Linked DNA regions of Callithrix jacchus. The main gene of each other region encodes a partner of the protein of the gene in region 2 in a complex. Links are inferred from orthologs where the notes say so. Each region holds a gene or a part of one and is shown on either strand. Other genes may lie near its edges.

Region 1 (5,106 bases), on a different chromosome or scaffold from region 2:
TAAAGATGGCCAATGACCAATGACCAAAAGATATATATATATAAGCTAAAAGATGAAATCTGCAAGTGGTTTGTCTACTGATCACATTTTATCCAACATTGCCATTATAGATTTATTTTTAATGTTTAAAAAAAAAACTGTAGAAATGTTGCACTATTACTATTTGCCCTTGGGACAATGCCATCACCCTCTAATGCTCACTAACTTCTTTTCCAAACCAAGAGCAAAAACTCTGGCCCTACACTCCATGAAAATTTCATCACCACAATTCTAAATCAAATGATCTCCTAAGCTGTAAAAGCATAACTGCCTATTCCTGTAAAAACTGTAATTTTCAACACATTCACTCATCATATATATTAATGGCCTATGTATTTATTAATCCTGCTACAATTCTATCAATTAAAAAAAGAGATAAAATCCCAAATACTGACATAGACAACACTGTATGCTCCTCAAATGAGCATTCAAGGGTTAAGCATGTTAGAAAATTTAACAAATGATGTAGAAACATCACTCCTTCTGAGAAGTGCAAAATGAATAGCAGGGTAAATAGCTCCGTATCATGGCATTGTAACTTGCTACCATGGTCATTTCTTTACACGCTACTAGCAACAGTGACCAAAACCAATTTCATTTTTAACATCATTACCCAGCAATTTGAACATGTGGTATGCAATCGATATTCACGTATAGTAAATAACACCTTAAACTTTTAGAGTCCCTTTAAAAAAGTAAAAGTGAAATAACATTCAATAAAACCTTTAATATTCCATTTATGTTGGCTGAGAAAAATTGACCGTTTCTTTAGAAATTTCTTGAACTACAGTTTTCACTTAAACAGAGCTACTCCACCTTCAATACATTGCTAATATGGAAAATTTTTAAATCAATAATTAAATGCAATTAGAGAAACAGCTTAACGGATTTATGTATTAAAACACAAAAGGGAAACACAGAGCTATGTTCTCATATGTAAAAGGCCAGGGTTTTGAAAGGGGGTATTAATTTGTAAATAAAGTACTGCTCTAGTAGCCTATTTTTTCAAAGATCAAATAGAATCAAAAAGGATTGAAAAGAAACCTTTTTTTAATCTGCAATTCACTGGGTTTAAGCTTTAGTTGTTCCTTTCTACTTCAAAAAATGGGTTTCTTTAATAAACACACTCTAAATAAGGGAATAAACACTTTATTTTAAAAATTCAAATATGCTTCAAATGAAAACTCCTGTCCATTTATTAAGCACCCACAGAGTGCCAGGCACTATACAAAACATTAAAAAGATTTGTTCATGCTCTTTTAGAGCAAAATTCACTATTCCGTTGTACTTGGCATAATGCTGACATTTTAGATCCATTGTCATAAAACGACCAAGATCTTCAAGACTTGCTCAAGAAACAAGTTTCCAATCCACAGTAGAAACAGATGACACAGGTTTATGCAGAAGTCAACTGGTGATGTCTGTCAACCATTTCACTTAATGTCCTCTCCCTAATTAAGAGAAAATTGAAGTATTAAGGGCACAGAAAATGGATTTCTTAATAGTATTATAACCTAAAACTCAAGTTTAAAATCAGCATTAGTTTCTATAATGTTTAGCAAACATATTTTACCCAATTTAACTGTCATTCATATTACACTTTCATTTTTTAAATTAATAATTAAGCAAAACCAAATTAGAATTAGGTGAAAAAAATTGAAAGGAAAAGGCAAAACAAAAAGTGATATAAAATAAAGCCACAAATTAGGCTAAGCAAAGAACATCACGGTGTGCTACATACTTGCTAGCAGAGAAAAATAAACTGAAACAAAAACAGAAAATGCCTGTTTAGTATCAATTCTAAAAATCAAGCAATTTAAAGACTTTTTAAGATACTCACCTCTGAAACCACCTCCCCCTCTTCCTCCTCGGAAGCCCCCACCTCCACCTCCTCTTCCACCTCTAAAACCACCTAAAAAACATGTATTAAATAATAATGCAAAATATTTAAATAATATAAATAATAAACATGAACAGTTATTAACTATATAACCTCTTATGCTGATAAGCCTACAAACATCAATACAATAACTATAATTACAATGAATATTCACATATTTTATCATGGAAAAAATTTTAGAAGATAAAAATGGAGGGACTGTAGTTTACCAACTTGGCAACAGGCTAAAACCCTAGATTCCTTTTAAACAAGTATTCCATTTCAATAAATTAGAAAACCTGCTACTTTAAAGTATAATTCAGTCTTGTTAAATGTACAATTATCACCTTAGTTCTTGCTTATGATAAAGACTTTTTGATTCAACGAAGGATAGTTTGATGGAATGAAGGCTTTTTATCCTAAGAACAAAGGGTGGCACCTATGGGTGCTTTTGCTCTGGGGGCATGATAATAAATATGATAGTTAAGGCTAATTGAGCTACATAGGTAAGATTTTTTAAAAATAAGATAGTTGTGAATTTTTTGAAATGTTAAATGATACTCAAATGAGAATAGGGGAATCTCTATTCATCAAATTCTCAAGAAGGTACCCCTGAAAATATTGGAGAAATATGTTGATATTTTTTAAAGATATTCCTTGCTACCTATATGGACCCAAACAAGTACATTTATGGAGTGAAATGATGATTAAATTGAGAGACGCAAAAGCGAATCGTTCCTTCTCTTTTTCTGATCCAATAACAAAAGCCCAACTTTCAGCTCCTCCCCCTTTCCACTTTGGCCCTCCCCCTACTCACAGGACATGGCAGCCCCACTCCCCAGAGCCCTGCTCATCACCTAGCTGCCAATTAATGATGAATGTGCCAAAACCTTGGGGAAACAGTGAGATCACAGCAATGAACTTATTAGTAATAGTTCTTGACATGACATCAGAAGATATGCATTTTAATTCTGGGTCTGCCAATTGTTTGATGGGGGCAAATTAATTTCTGTAAGTCTCCGTTTTCCTCATTCATAAAACAAAAATATCATCTATCTCAAAAGGTTTCACTGAGATTAGAAGAATATACAAAGAAATTAAAAGAAGGTATGACCAGCTTTCAGCATGCAGTCTATACTCAATGATAATAAAATTAAGATGATTTTATGGTTTATTAAAATGCCCAAGAAAACATGAATAACCCAAAGAAATAAAGTCCCTCAAAAGTATACTACAGTAGATTTTTTTTTTTCTGTTTAAGTTGTTGAAATGAAGCATTATTATTATGGACAATCTGTCAATATTTGAAAGCAGCTTTACCATAAGGGAGGTTTGCTATGTTCAAAACTAAATTGTACTATATGAATTTAGCTGTGACTCTAAAATCTCAACAGAAATTTTCCCCAAGTAACTTACCACCTCTGCCACCACCTCTGCCACCTCCTCCTCGTCCTCCTCCTCGGCCTCCCCTGCCACCACCTCTTGGAGGTCCTTTCTCACCTGGAGGTCGAGGTAAAAACCTCTGCAGTGGCAGCAGCTTATATGGGTCTATATAAAACTGGAAACATAATAGAAGCAATTAGTGTGATGACTTGGGGGACAGTATAATAATTCAGAAGCTACATGATAGAGTCAAAACTGACTGGGTTCCGTTTTGCAATTTAATTCTTTCCACAATGTATCTCTGGGTAAGCACTTAATTTCTTACTACCTTAGTTTTCTTTTATCTTTTTTTTTAAATTTTAAGTTCTGGGATATACGTGCAGAATGTGCAGGTTTGTTACATAGGTATACATGTGCCATGGTGGTTTGCTCCACCTATCACTTGTCATCGAGGTTTTAAGCCCGCATGCATTGGGTATTTGTCCCAGTGCTCTCCCTCTCCTTGCCCCCCACCCCCCAACATGCCCGGGTGTGTGATGTTCCCCACCATGTGTCCATGTGTTCTCATCGTTCAACTCCCACTTATGAATGAGAACATGCAGTGTTTGGTTTTCTGTTTCTGTGTCAGTTTGCCTTAGTTTTTTTATCTGTAAAATGTAGAGAATACATAACTAGCTCACATGTTTGTGTGATGATCAAAAGTGACCTATATAAGGCACTTGCAATTTGGCACACAATAAGCATTGTATGCATATAAAAAAATCAAGACCAATTCAATCTCATTTCTCTTTAGAAATAGGTTTAACATTTCCACTCAAAAGAACTGCCTTAAGAAAAATAAAACATAGCATTATCTTGAATAAAATAAAAAACATAGCATTAAAATTCAAAATAAAGCATTCACAAACTAGCTGTTTCAAGCCTTTAATAAAGATCAAAAGGGTAACTATTTTCTGAACACACAAAGTAATGAAGGATATAGAGAAACTATACCCATCCCATAATTGGGGCTAAAGAGGACATTTCTCAGATAATGAAATGTAAAGGGCATATTGTATCATAGTTCTTCTACACAAAACACATGAGGATTTCAAAACTGTGATACATTACTTAGAATAAGATACCTGAATCCCTCTCTAGCTATCACCTTATTATTCATCTTCCCTTCATAGCCCATCATCTCAAAATATTATCTAGATCTACACTGTTCCATGTGGTAGCCATGAGCCACAGGTGGCTACTTATATTTAATTATTAAAAATTCAGTTCCTGAGTTACATGAGCCACACTTCAGGTGCTCAAAAGCTACATGTCACTAAGAGCTACCTTACTGGGCAGGGATTTCCATCACTGCAGAAAGTTCAAGTAGAGGGCACTGGTCTACAGACTTCGTAATAACGCAGGCTGGGTAAGGAGGGCTGAATCTCAACATAGCAGGGGGTATGGAAACTGGGAGAGGTAGAATGTACTCAAGTTAATACCTGTAGTTAAAAAACAAAAACCGAAAAAACTAAATAATAAGCCCTCAAATAAATAATTCTGAGAAAAGGGAGAGGGATTCCAATCAATTTAAGTGGCTATTACCAGCAGTTTTTTTTCAGGTCACAAAATGGAAATCCTTTCTCAGCATTGTTTCTTTCTGGGCTCAACAGCTCCAGGCACACCTGAAGCAATTTCCTGTGAGTACTTGCCAAGGTTTCCACAACTAGCAGGCATAAGCTAACAACAAGCTATTGTCTCCTTCTCATTTCCCATTTCATTCTGGCTCCTGGGCCCACTACTGCACTGGCTCCATGATTCCCTGA
Region 2 (5,955 bases):
AACATGGAAGGAGGAAGTGACCAAGAAGAGCCCAGGACGAGAAAAGATAGGCTTGGGGACCGGCCCGGTGCCTGCACCATTTATCCAGGCGACTGGCGTGGCTGTGGCCACAGAAACAGCAGATGTACAGAAGCATAGCACAAGAGAGCAAAAGCCAAGGACACCCAGGACCAAAACTCACCCACACACGACAGGGACACCTGGGACAGAGCCTCACTCCCTGCACAAGCCAGGGGCAGATTGTGACCTCATCTAAAATCAGAGAACAGCAATGATGGCAGGCAGATTCCTGATCAGAGCACTCAAACTCTCCTCCCTCGAAGGAAGCTAGAACGGGTGGCACGACTGCTTATCCGACTCGGTGTGGCCACCGGAGCCACAGCACGTGGCAGGCAACTGCTGTTCAACAGGTTAGGGACTTCAGTCATGCAAGACGTAGCAGTTTGAGTGACCTGTTGTAGACACTAGGCCAAGTTAGCAATTCTGCACTGTACACGGAAGATCGTGCTAGGAGGGCCAATCTCACATTGTATGATTTTTGCCATCATAAAAAAGAGCCCCAGGAAAGTGGTCACCCTCCTCCAGCCAGTCCCGGGACCCTAAGGGAACCTGAACAGCGGCTCAGCCACAGGAAGCTACGCACCCGCCGCGGTGCTGGCAGAACAGGTGCACAGGCCGCTGCCACGAGGGTCTTCCTGAACGGGACCAGGAATGAAAGCCCCCACCACAGGCGACTCTAATGAGAAGCCAGCATGGGCGGACGGCTCTGCAGACATGGTCTCTGCCAGGGCCCTACTTCCGGAAGTCTTCGATGTCTTGGGATTTTGTGAGGAGGAGGGCCTGTTCCGGCTGCCACTGCAAGGCCTGGGAGTGCTGGGAGCCAACAGGGGGGTGCAGCAGAGGTGCCTCCACATCAAACCCAGAAAAACAGAGCGGGGACACGGCAGGACCCAGCAGCACTGTCCCCCGAACACCCACAGCACCGTCCCTTCCCTGAGCAGGAGCCATCTGCTGTCCTCTGCTCCCACGTGGCCTTCTTCACTCCTACAGACAGGACCAGGACCTGTGCTGGAGGACAGCCTTCTTTATCTCCCTCCCTCTACTCTGTCCTGGCAGAATCAATGCACCATTTTTTTGTTTTGTTTTTGAGACAGTTTCACTCTTGTCACCCAGGATGGAGTGCAATGGCACCATTTCAGCTCACTGCAACCTCCCGGGTTAAAGTGATTCTTCTGCCTCAGCCTCCTGAGTAGCTGGGATTACAGGCACACGCCACCGTGCCCAATTGGTTTTTGCATTTTTAGTAGAGATGGGCGTTCGCCATGTTGGCCAGGCTGGTCTCGAACTCCTGACCTCAGGTGATCCACCTGCCTCTGCCTCCGAAAGTACTGGGATAACAGATGTGAGCCACCAACACAATTAAATCTTAAATACAAACCTGCATATTGGCTGACCATGTGCACCTGCAAAACCCTTCCCTCCCACCCCAGGAAGAGGGAGTTTTTGTCCTCAACTCCCATTCCTATCCTTGAAATCGTGAAGGGGATTATAGGTAACCTGCAGGCACTCTGCCAAGAGTGTCTGTGCTTCCACCCGCTTCCCCACCTTGTGAGCACCCCAGCTCCACAGCACGCCCCGCCCCGTCTGTTCACTGCTCTGGCCTCAGCGCCTGGAAACTGCACGTCCATAAAAAACCTGAAGGCGAACCTCATAGCTTTATGCAAACTGGACGGGAGAGAGAGCGCAGAGGCAGAGATCACCACGTCCACTGACGTCCTGAGCAAGAAGCCACGTGTGCCCACGTGATGCAGACCAGAGGACCAGGGCTCTGCCTGCCCTCTTTTCTGAACCCCTTCTGCATTAAGCTCTGGGGCCTGGGACCTCGACGGCCACCCTCTCCTCACCTGGGCTCCTGCGCAGCCAAGCGCAGTCACGCACGCTCATCTTCCAGGTCAGCTCCTGCAGCGAGAGCTTGGCATGCTTCCCCAGAGAGATGAACTTCTTGGTGTTCCTGAGGAAGCGACGCTCGTTGTGCCTGGAGCCCCAGAGGCCGGGAGGCACCAGCCGGCGAAGGCAGGCCCGCAGGAAGCTGTACACCTGCCAGGGGCTGCTGTGCTGGCGGAGCAGCTGCACCAGGCGACGAGGGTCTGTGTCCTCCTCCTCGGGGGCTGCCACAGAACCCAGGGGCTCCTGGGCACAGACACGGGCCGCCGGGGTGACCGCAGTCCGCAGTGGGCAGTGTGTCTTGAGGAGCGCCCCGTAGGGGCACCGCGCGTGGTTCCTGAGCAGCTCCAGAAACAGGGGCCGCATCTGCCAGTAGCGCTGGGGCAGGCGGGGCAGCCTGCGGGGCGTCCCTGGCCTCGAACCCAGAAAGATGGTGTCCAGGAGCCTGCGGGCGCCCGTCAGGCTGGGGCGCAGGGCGCTGAGTAGGAAGGAGGGCCGAAGCCGCTCCTGGGCACCCGAAGAGTAGAGGAAGTGCTTGGTCTCGGCATAGACCAGGGGACATGGCGTGTCCCGGGGCTGCGGTGACCGCGATTTGGATGGGGGCCCCGCCCCGGGCTGGTGGCCCGCTGATGGGTACGAGTGGCATGCGCCAGGGGCTTCCTCGGCTGCTCCCACAGGTGATACCACGCAGAAACCGTGGCCACTCGGTCCACGTGTCCTGCCGGGGTGCGCCCGAGATCCCTGCCCCACAGGCGTCCGCTCCGGCTCCAGGGCAGGCCCACACCTGGGCCTCTTGGGCCACGGTGGACTTACGCTGGCGCTGCCCCGGCGCCTTCTCTCACCCGGGGCTGGCAGGCCCAGGCGGACCCCGGGCTCCTTGACGCTGCTGCTCCAGGCCCGTTTGCGTCCCAGGCCCCTTCGCGTCCCAGCCGCGTGTGGCGCGGGCCGGGGCTCGGGCGCAGTGCGGAGCTCGTACAGCGGCGGCCCGCACACCTGGTAGGCGCAGCTGGGAGCCACCAGCACGTAGAGCGCGCAGTGCGCCAGCAGGTAAACCAGCACGTCGTCGCCCAGGCGGCGCAGCAGCAGCGCCCACGCCCCGCTGCCGCGCAGCGTCTCGGTCACCGTGTTGGGCCGGTAGCTGCGCACGCTGGTGGTGAAGGCCTCGGGGGGGCCGCCGCCGGCGCCATCCAGCAGCGCGAAGCCGAAGGCCAGCACGTTCCTCGCGCCACGCTCGCAAAGCCTCTGCAGCACCCGGGCCACCAGCTCCTTCAGGGGGGACACCTGCGGGCGGGGGAAGCGCCCTGAGTCGCCCGCCGGGGGTGCGCGCGCCGCTCCGCTCCCACCCCCGCGCCGGACGCGGACCCCGGGTACCCCACCTGGTGGAAGGATGGGGCGGCGGGGGGCGGCCGTGCGTCCCAGGGCACGCACACCAGGCACTGCGCCACCAGCGCGCGAAAAGCCGCCGGGTCCCCGCGCTGCACGAGCCGCCGGCCCTCGGGCCCCAGGCGCCGCACAAACGTGGCCAGCGGCAGCACCTCGCGGTAGCGGCTGCGCAGCAGGGAGCGCACGGCTCGGCAGCGTGGCGCGCGCGGCATCGCGGTGGACTGCAAGGGCCGGAGCGCGGCGTCCCACGTGCGCAGCAAGACGCGGCGCGGTCAGCCTCCAACCTGCGCCCCAAGAGAAGGCGGGACCGCGGAGAGGAAGGGGCGGGGCCGGAGAGTGAGGGGCGGGGCTGGAGGGGAGGGGGCGGAGAGGGCCGGAGGGGGCGGGGCCGGGGACCGGGGACGGGGAGGGGTCGGGACGGGGACGGGGGCGGGGTCCGCGCGGAGTCGGCGGAGCTAGGTGAGGGCGGGGGCGGGCCGGGTTTAGGAAGCCTGGGTCCCTCTCCCTCCGCCACGTGGGCAGCGCAGTCCCGGGCGTCTGCGCCCCCGAATCCACCGGGATCCCGGCCTGGCCTGGCCTCGACCGCGCAGCTGCTCCGTGCGGACCCGGGGGTCTGGGACGCGCTTCCCGCCCGCGCGCCGCCGCCGCTCGCAGGGTGCAGCGACCCCAGCGAGGGCCCCGCAGAGAGGGGTGACGTCAGCCCAAGCGCGGGGTAACCCGAGGGAGGGGCGGTGGCCCTGGGCACAGGTGCGTGGGGCGCTCACTTCATGGCTTTCCCAGATGGGCCCGACCCCTAGAGCCAGGGCTGTCCCCCGGTCCGGACGGGGAACGTCGGGAAGAAGCAGGGCGGCGGGCTCCCGGCCCTGGGAATGCAGGGCTCCGGGGGAGGACCGAAGCGCGTAGACGCGGCTGGGGACGACCCCCAGGGCACAGCGCTCCCGGGACGGGCACGCGGGGCTCTCGGAGCGCCTCCCTGCCCACGGGCAGTACTTCCCCGCGACTTGGTCTCCTTTTCTCTTTGCAGGTTCTTAGGCCGCGAGGGGTCCCCACCATGAGCAAACCACCTCAGATCTGTTCACCCACCGGGCCGTCGCGTCGAGGAAGGGTGGGACATGCAGTCAGGTGCTCCTCTGGCCCGGCACTGGGGGCCTCACACCTGCCGCAGCTGCCTTTACCCTGGGCCCTGGCGCGGTGTCCACCAGCTGAGGCCAAACTCCGGTCACTCCCACCCGCAGAGGGAGGAGGGCAGCCTCGGGGGTCCGGGCACCTGGCTACAGCCTCGGACCGCTGAACCAGAAGGCCCGACCTCCAGCCCAGCTGAGGAAGCCACGCAGCCGCTGGGCCCCTGCAGACCCAGGGCCCGGGCACAGCCGAGGACTTCCCCGAGCCCCAACTCCGGCTGCTCAAGTTTGCATCTAGGAGGTAAGAAACTTCTGGGTCTCCAGAGGCTTTGCGGGGAGCGTGTAGCTGAGGTCGGCAAACACTGAAATGCTAACAGATGCAACCTTCAATGTAACCTTTCCTACTTTCCGAGAGTGTGGGCGGAAATTGCTTTATTTATGGGCCTAGCATTTGAACAGGCCTCGCGCCCTCCCTGAGCCATCACACTCGCTAGGGGTTCGCCTCACCTTGTAAATACTTAGGATTACAGGTTGCTCTTCTAGAAATCCCCTTAGTGAATCCAAAGTCTTTTTAAAGGGCTGTGTTTGTGAATTGTCACTGGACTCGGGCAAAGGGGCTGATGTGGAAAATTCGTTCCAACAAAAGTTAAGTTGTAGCTTACTCTGGTTCCCCCAGAGAAACCAACACAGAAAACCTAATTTTAAAAGAGGGAATAGAAGAAACTCAGGCGGAAGATTACACTGGAGTGACTGACACCACGTCCAGGAGGAGGAGAGGTCTCCCAGCTTTCAGTGAAAATCGAAGACGCCCCAGTATTATGGGTGCAGTTGGTCTATCTTTGAAAAGCTGATGCTGTCTCAGTCATCACAACGGAAAACATTAAGAATGTTCTAAGAGGCCGGCCCGGTGGCTCTGCCTGTAATCCCAGCACTTTGGGAGGCCGAGGTGGGCGGATCACGAGGTCAAGAGATGGAGACCATACTGGCCAACATGGTGAAACCCTGTCTGTACTAAAAATACAAAAATTAGCTGGATGTGGTGGCGCTCACCTATAGTCCCAGCTAGCTACCTGGGAAGCTGAGGCAGGAGAATGGTTTGAACCCAAGAATTGCAGTGAGTCAAGATTGCACCGCTGCACTCCAGCCTGGCGCCTGGCGAAGGAGCAAGACTGTCTCAAAAAAAAAAAAAAAAAAAAGAATGTTCTAAGAAAAACAGATAAACAGATTCTATCATTGGCTTAAAACCCCACAACACTTGAGTGGGGTGAGCTTCCTCTTTCAGACCCAGATATTTCTAAACAGAGTGGATTCTGGGCTGTGTGCAGTGGCTCACACCTGTAATCCCAGCACTTTGGGAGGCCAAGGCAGGTGGATTACCTGAGGTCAGGAGTTCAAGACCAGCCTGGCCAACATGGTGAAACCCTGTGTTTACTAAAAATACAAAAAAAATTAGCTGGGCGTGGTAACAGGCACCTGTAATTCCAGCTGCTTGGGAGGCTGAGGCAGA
Region 3 (5,977 bases), on a different chromosome or scaffold from region 2:
GATCTGTTTCTGTCAGATAACAGTGAGCCAGGAGCACAGTGGTATGATCCTGGCTCACTAAAACCTCTGCCTCCAAGGCTCAAGTGATCCTTCCACCTCAGTCTCCTGAGTAGCTGGGATTACAGGTATGAGCCACCATGCCCAGCCTTTCTGATGTTTTAACACACAAAACTGCCCAGGCATGATGGCTCACGCCTGTAATCCCAACACTTTGGGAGGCTGAAGTGGGCAGACCACAAGGTCAGGATATCAAGACCATCCTGGCTAAGACAGTGCAACTCCATCTCTACTAAAAAAAAAAAATATGGCTGGGTGCAGTGGCTCATACCTGTAATCCCAGCACTTTGGGAGGCCAAGGCAGACGGATCACCTGAGGTTGGGAGTTCAAGACCAGCCTGACCAACATGGAGAAACCCCATCTCTAATAAAAATACAAAATTAGCAGGCATGGTAGTACATGCCTGTAATTCCAGCTACTTGGGATGCTGAGGCAGGAGAATCACTTGAACCCAGGAGGTGGAGGTTGCAGTGAACCAAGATTGCACCATTGCACTCCAGCCTGGGCAACAAAAGCGAAACTCCATCTTGAAAAAAAAAATACAAAAAATTAGCTGGTCGTGGTGGCACATGCCTGTAGTCCCAGCTATTCGGGAGGCCGAGGCAGGAGAATCACTTAAACACAGGAGGCAGAGGCTGCAGTTAACCAAGATGCACCACTGCACTCCACCCTGGGCAACAGAGCAAGACTCAACTAAAAAAAAAAAAAAAAGAACAGTTCTGGGTGTTTGTAATATCATTGCCAGTTCCTGGAAAGCTCTTTCCAAAAGTCTTCATGTGACTGACCCCTTATCCTCCTTCAGGGCTTGGCTCAAATGCCTCCTTTTCAAAGAGCTCCTTCCTGACCACTTCATGCAACGTGGGTTCCTCTAGTTAGTCTCTCTTCATTCTGTTTCTTTCCTTCAGAGCGTTTATTATCATCTTGTGCCTGACGCTTGCTAGTTCACATGCATCAGCAACAAGATAATTCCTCTTGTTTGTTGTCTATCTCCCACGCAGAAAGCAAACCAGCCCTTCATCTGTCTTGTCCACCACTTTATCCCAGCACAGTGACTAACACATATCAGTAGTCAATCAATAAATATCTATAGGCCGGGCACAGTGGCTCACACCTGTAATCCCATACTTTGGGAGGCTGAGGCGGTGGATCATCTGAGGTCAGAAGCTCGAGACCAGCCTGGCCAACATGGTGAAACCCCATCTCTACTAAAACTACAAAAGTAAGTCAAACGTGGTGACGCATGCCTGTTGTCCCAGCTACTCAGGGGCCTAAGTCAGGAGACTCATTTAAACACAGAGGTGTCACCACGGCACTCCAGCCTGGGTGACAGAGCAAGACTCTGTCTCAAAAAAATAGTAAGTAATGCCCAGCACAGTGGTTCACGCCTGTAATCCCAGCTTTGGGAGGCAGAGACAGGTGGATTATGAGGTCAGGAGTTCAAGACTAGCCTGGCCAACATGGTGAAACCCCATCTCTACTAAAAATTCAAAATTTAGCTGGGTATGGTGGCACGTTCCTATAATCCCAGCTACCGGGGAGGCTGAGGCAGGAGAACTGCTTGAATCAGGACCCAGGAAGCAGACGTTGCAGTGAGCTGAGGCAGCGCCACTGCACTCTAGCCTGGGCTACAGAGCAAGACTCCATCTCAAAATAACAGTAATAATAATAAAAAGCCAGGTGCAGTGACTCACATCTGTAATCCCAGCACTTTGGGAGGCCAAGATGGGCGGATCATGAAGTCAAGAGATCCAGACCATTCTGGCTAATATGGTGAAATCCTGTCTCTACTAAAAATACAAAAATTACCTGGGCGTGGTGGCGTGCAGTTGTAATCCCAGCTACTCAGGAGGCTGAGGCAAGATAATCGCTTGAACCCGGGAGGCAGAGGTTGCAGTGAGCTGAAATCACACCACTGCACTCCAGTCTGGGCAACAGAGTGAGAGTCCGTCTCAAAATAATAATAATAATAATAATAAATCTGTAAATACTGCCACAAGAAATTCAATACTTTTTAATAAAAACCCAGATTCCTAATTAAAGAAAAGGGAAACATCTCTCTAAATAACTTCAGAATTCGGACAGAAAATGCTACCCGTGGAAACTCATCTTGAAAAACAGTCCTATTTGTGAACAGGAAACAGGAAATATTTGGACTACACTTTCTCCATCTCCATGAAGGACTTAAATGTGCAGCATTGACAAAGGGGCAGAGTTAGCCCTATCCTTACCATTTCTGCATATTCCATCTGCTCCTCCTCATGGTACAGCTCTGGGGGCAGGTTATAAATTCGCAAGATGTTATCAGCACTGTTGGTCAAGATGCAAGAACCATCAGGGGCCCTAGAAACAGGAGAGAGTTAGAAAGCTGGCCAGATCTACGCTTTTCAAGTGTAGGGCTAGGGCTGCACCTACCTCTGGGGTAGGTAAGCCCCCTGACTCCTTGAGGGAAGCAGAAGACACAAAGACAGAAAATGCTAGATAAAATTTAAGCTCAGGGCCAGGCATGGTGGTTCACACCTGTAATCTCAGCACTTTGGGAGGCTGAGGCTGGCGGATCACCTGAGGTCGGGAGTTCGAGACCAGCCTGACTAACATGGAGAAACCCCATCTCTACTAAAAATACAAAATTACCTGGGCATGGTGGCACATGCCTGCAATCCCAGTTACTTGTGAGGCTGAGGCAGGAGAATCGCTTGAACCCGAGAGGCTGTGGCTGTGGTGAGCAGAGATCACATCATTGCACTGCAGCCTGGGCAACAAGAGTGAAACTCTGTCTCCAAAAAAAAAAAAATCAGGCTGAGTGTAAAAAAGTTACGTGCCCCTTCTTCAGCTCTGGTGTTTCCTTCTCCTAGATAACTGGCATGTTTTACAGTGAAAATTCTGGGGGTGGTCAGATCCCTGCACCGTTATTATCCTTACCATTTACAGCCTTTCAAGAAGTTCTCAGGTTGAGTGCTGAACTCTGACCAGGAACCACTGAGAAATCGAGGCAGCTGGGAGAAGCTGTAGTTCCAAGCGCTAAAAGGAAGATGGAGGACAAAAACGTGGGTCGTTTCTGCAAATGGGGCAGGGGACTGGAGAAGCGGGTCTGAGGACCAGTGGATAGGTCGACCTCATCTCCCCGGACTCCACACTCAACTGCCATCACCACTTACGGGTCTCCCTCGTCATCTGCAGTGGGTTCCCCAGACGCATCTTCCATGGCTTTCCCAGACCCCAACCCTGGCCCGTTCACTTCTTCCTCAAAAAGGCTCCCGTTTGCTTCTTCTGCAGTAAGGCTTCCATTTTCAGAAAGTTCTTGCTTCTCGATTCGAGGACTCATTTCACTAGGAGGACCAAACTCTGTTTCCAGGGGAGTGGAGAGAGAAACTGGGTCCCCCTCCCCTGGCTCCTGGGACACAGCGGAGCCAGCCACGGGATATGGGGACAACCGGGGCGGATCGTCCCTTTCAGAAGGCGGTGGCATCAGTTCAGGGTCCGCATTTTTATCCATCGGGAAAGCGTGAGGAGAAGGATGAGCTGCAGCTGGGTCCTGGTCTGAAGGACAGCAGTCCGGAGCTAACGGTTGCGTCTCCAAAGTCTTCATACTGCAGACGGAGCACAGCGGACATCAACCTCAGTCGGGATGGCCTCGAAGTTCTCAGGAATCCGACTCAGAACTTAAAAACCCCACCTGTGCTTCCTTCCTCTTCTGGGAGGAGGCAGAAGACTCCAGGGAGGAGAGGCGAACAGCGGACGCCAACTTTGAAAGCACGGCGTTCCCTGGCACCGCGGGTCGCTAGGCGCTTCTCGCAGTCGCGGGATTTGGGCCCACCTTCCAAGTGGGCCGCCGCATCACGGATCAGATTTCGCGGGCGACCCTCGGAACCCTCAGAGCCGGGACGTGAAAGGTTAGACAGTTTCCCGTTCCCATCAAGCCTTAGGGCTCCTCGTAGCTGCTGGGAGTTGTAGTCCGAACGCTTCTGTCTTGGCGAGAAGCGCCTGCACTCCCCCTATCGGCTCCCGCGGTAATTTTTAAAGTACCTGTCCCACCCGCCGTCTGCAGAGGGCGCTGCAGGTCTTGCATCTCTTTTGCATCTCATTCTCCAGGCTCTAGACCTGTCTCTCTCCCTTCTTTCAAAAAATACTATCGAGCTCTTACTTGCTCCCCAGCACTGATACAGGCACTGGGAAATACAGCAATGAATAAGATGGGAGAAAAATTCTCATAAGGCTTACGTTTCCATGTACTGAAAGCAATGAACGAATAAATCTTTTCAGAGTGATAAGGGCTGTGAAGGAGATTAAACAAGATGGTGTGATATAAAGTATCTGGGAGAATACGTTAGCCTGAGGTATTAAGGAAAGCCTTCTTTTAAAATGACGTTTTTTAGCTGATGAAAAGAAAGGATCCAGCTGAGAGCAAACGCAAAACCTTTCTTTCTTCAACCCTTCATATTTAACCCAGTGCAGGAGTCCTCCAAAATGGTTTCCACTAATTTTGTCCTCACAGCTCTGGCTTGTAGAATTTTCCCACTCCAAAACATTAGTATCTACAGCACCACCATTTCGGCGAGAACCCTGACTCTCTCTGCACCTTCCTCCCCGACTCTATTTCCTTTACTTCTTCTGGCAGGCGGATTACTTGCCCTTACTTGTCATGGCGACTCTCCAGCTTTGTGCCAGGAGCCTCGCAAGGGTTGATGGGATTGGGATTTTCCCCTCCCATGTGCTCAGACTGGCGCTAAAAGTTTTGAGCGTCTCAAAAGTGTAGAGCCACCCTCCAGGGAGCAGGTAGCTGCTGGGCTCCAGGAACACTTGGCGTCTAGGCTCGGAGCGTGCTTTCGACAGTGACACACTTCCCTGAGGGCTGGGTAAGCTCCTAACTGAACCTGATGAATCCCCTTTGAGTCACGGACTCTGCTCCGTGTATTTTCAGCTCGGGAAAATCGCTGGGGCTGGGGGTGGGGCAGTGGGGACTTAGCGAGTTTGGAGGTGAATGGGATGGAAGCTTGGCTGGAGGGGTCAACATAGGAGTGCAGTGTTGGGAGACCTGAGTGTAGATGATGGCGATGTTAGGACCATCCGAACTCATAGTTGAACGCCTAGGCAGAGGAGTGGGGCTTTGGGGAACCTTGAGCCGGACTAAAAGGTACTTCCTTGCACATCCACCCGGTATTGGGCGTAGGGAATCCCTGAAATAAAAGATGCACAAACCATTGAGGTCGGAGACTTTTGGATCTCCAAATATTGAGAACTCATGGCTGTATGTTTTAGAACCCATGGCATCCTAGTGAAACCTCGGGCTCCATTCCGAAATTATCTTTGGGGGTGATCTGGGAACCCAAGCTGCTAAGGTCCCACAACTTCCGGACCTTTGTCCTTCCCGGAGCGATCTTTCCAGCCGGCCCCCGGCTCCGCCAGATGGAGAAAATCCAATTAAAGGCTGTCAGCCGTGGAAGTGAAAAGTGCTAAACGAGGGGTTCGTCCACCAGGCCAAGGAGGACCGTCCCAATCTGAGGGGCACGGCAGCCCTGTTATTGTTTGCCTCCACATTTACATTTCTGCCGCCTGTAGCAGCATTTCCGGTTTCTTCTGCCGGAGCAGCTCACTATTCACCAGATGAGAGGGGAGGAGAGAGAGAGAAAATGTCCTTTAGGGCGGTTCCTATTACTTGCAGAGAGAGGCTGCTATTCTCCGCCCCACTTTTTTTTTCTGGATTACTTGGTCATGGCCTTTGCAAAGGCTGGGGTATTTGTTTTGATGCAAACTTCAATCCCTCCCCTTCTTTGAATGCTGTGCTCCACCCCGCGCGTCGCCTACAACCTGGGCGGGCGCTACCATGGCATGAGACAGGGAGGGCAAGAAATGCGCAGAAGGCAAACCCGGGGTATTTTCAAGAATGGGTACATCTCATCTTCCTGAAGACAAAAAAAAAAA

The links.
Region 1: TERT (region 2) and GAR1 share a complex: the UniProt entries of both Homo sapiens proteins name them as parts of the telomerase holoenzyme complex. The link is inferred for Callithrix jacchus from reciprocal best matches to the Homo sapiens genes TERT and GAR1.
Region 3: TERT (region 2) and WRAP53 share a complex: the UniProt entries of both Homo sapiens proteins name them as parts of the telomerase holoenzyme complex. The link is inferred for Callithrix jacchus from reciprocal best matches to the Homo sapiens genes TERT and WRAP53.

The regions. Positions count from the first base shown.
Region 1 is NC_133504.1:87,423,670-87,428,775, forward strand, and holds the end of GAR1 (H/ACA ribonucleoprotein complex subunit 1), read right to left. Parts: intron 4,751-5,106; exon of another isoform or gene 4,628-4,750; intron 3,477-4,627; coding exon 3,335-3,476; intron 1,952-3,334; coding exon 1,880-1,951; intron 1,491-1,879; coding exon 1,477-1,490; 3' UTR 1,173-1,476; downstream 1-1,172. UniProt on the Homo sapiens protein: Required for ribosome biogenesis and telomere maintenance. Part of the H/ACA small nucleolar ribonucleoprotein (H/ACA snoRNP) complex, which catalyzes pseudouridylation of rRNA.
Region 2 is NC_133503.1:204,792,312-204,798,266, reverse strand, and holds the start of TERT (telomerase reverse transcriptase), read right to left. Parts: upstream 3,629-5,955; 5' UTR 3,540-3,628; coding exon 3,321-3,539; intron 3,226-3,320; coding exon 1,905-3,225; intron 1-1,904. UniProt on the Homo sapiens protein: Telomerase is a ribonucleoprotein enzyme essential for the replication of chromosome termini in most eukaryotes. Active in progenitor and cancer cells. Inactive, or very low activity, in normal somatic cells.
Region 3 is NC_133506.1:74,174,812-74,180,788, reverse strand, and holds the start of WRAP53 (telomerase Cajal body protein 1), read right to left. Parts: upstream 3,980-5,977; 5' UTR 3,645-3,979; coding exon 3,214-3,644; intron 3,077-3,213; coding exon 2,978-3,076; intron 2,399-2,977; coding exon 2,287-2,398; intron 1-2,286. UniProt on the Homo sapiens protein: RNA chaperone that plays a key role in telomere maintenance and RNA localization to Cajal bodies. Specifically recognizes and binds the Cajal body box (CAB box) present in both small Cajal body RNAs (scaRNAs) and telomerase RNA template component (TERC).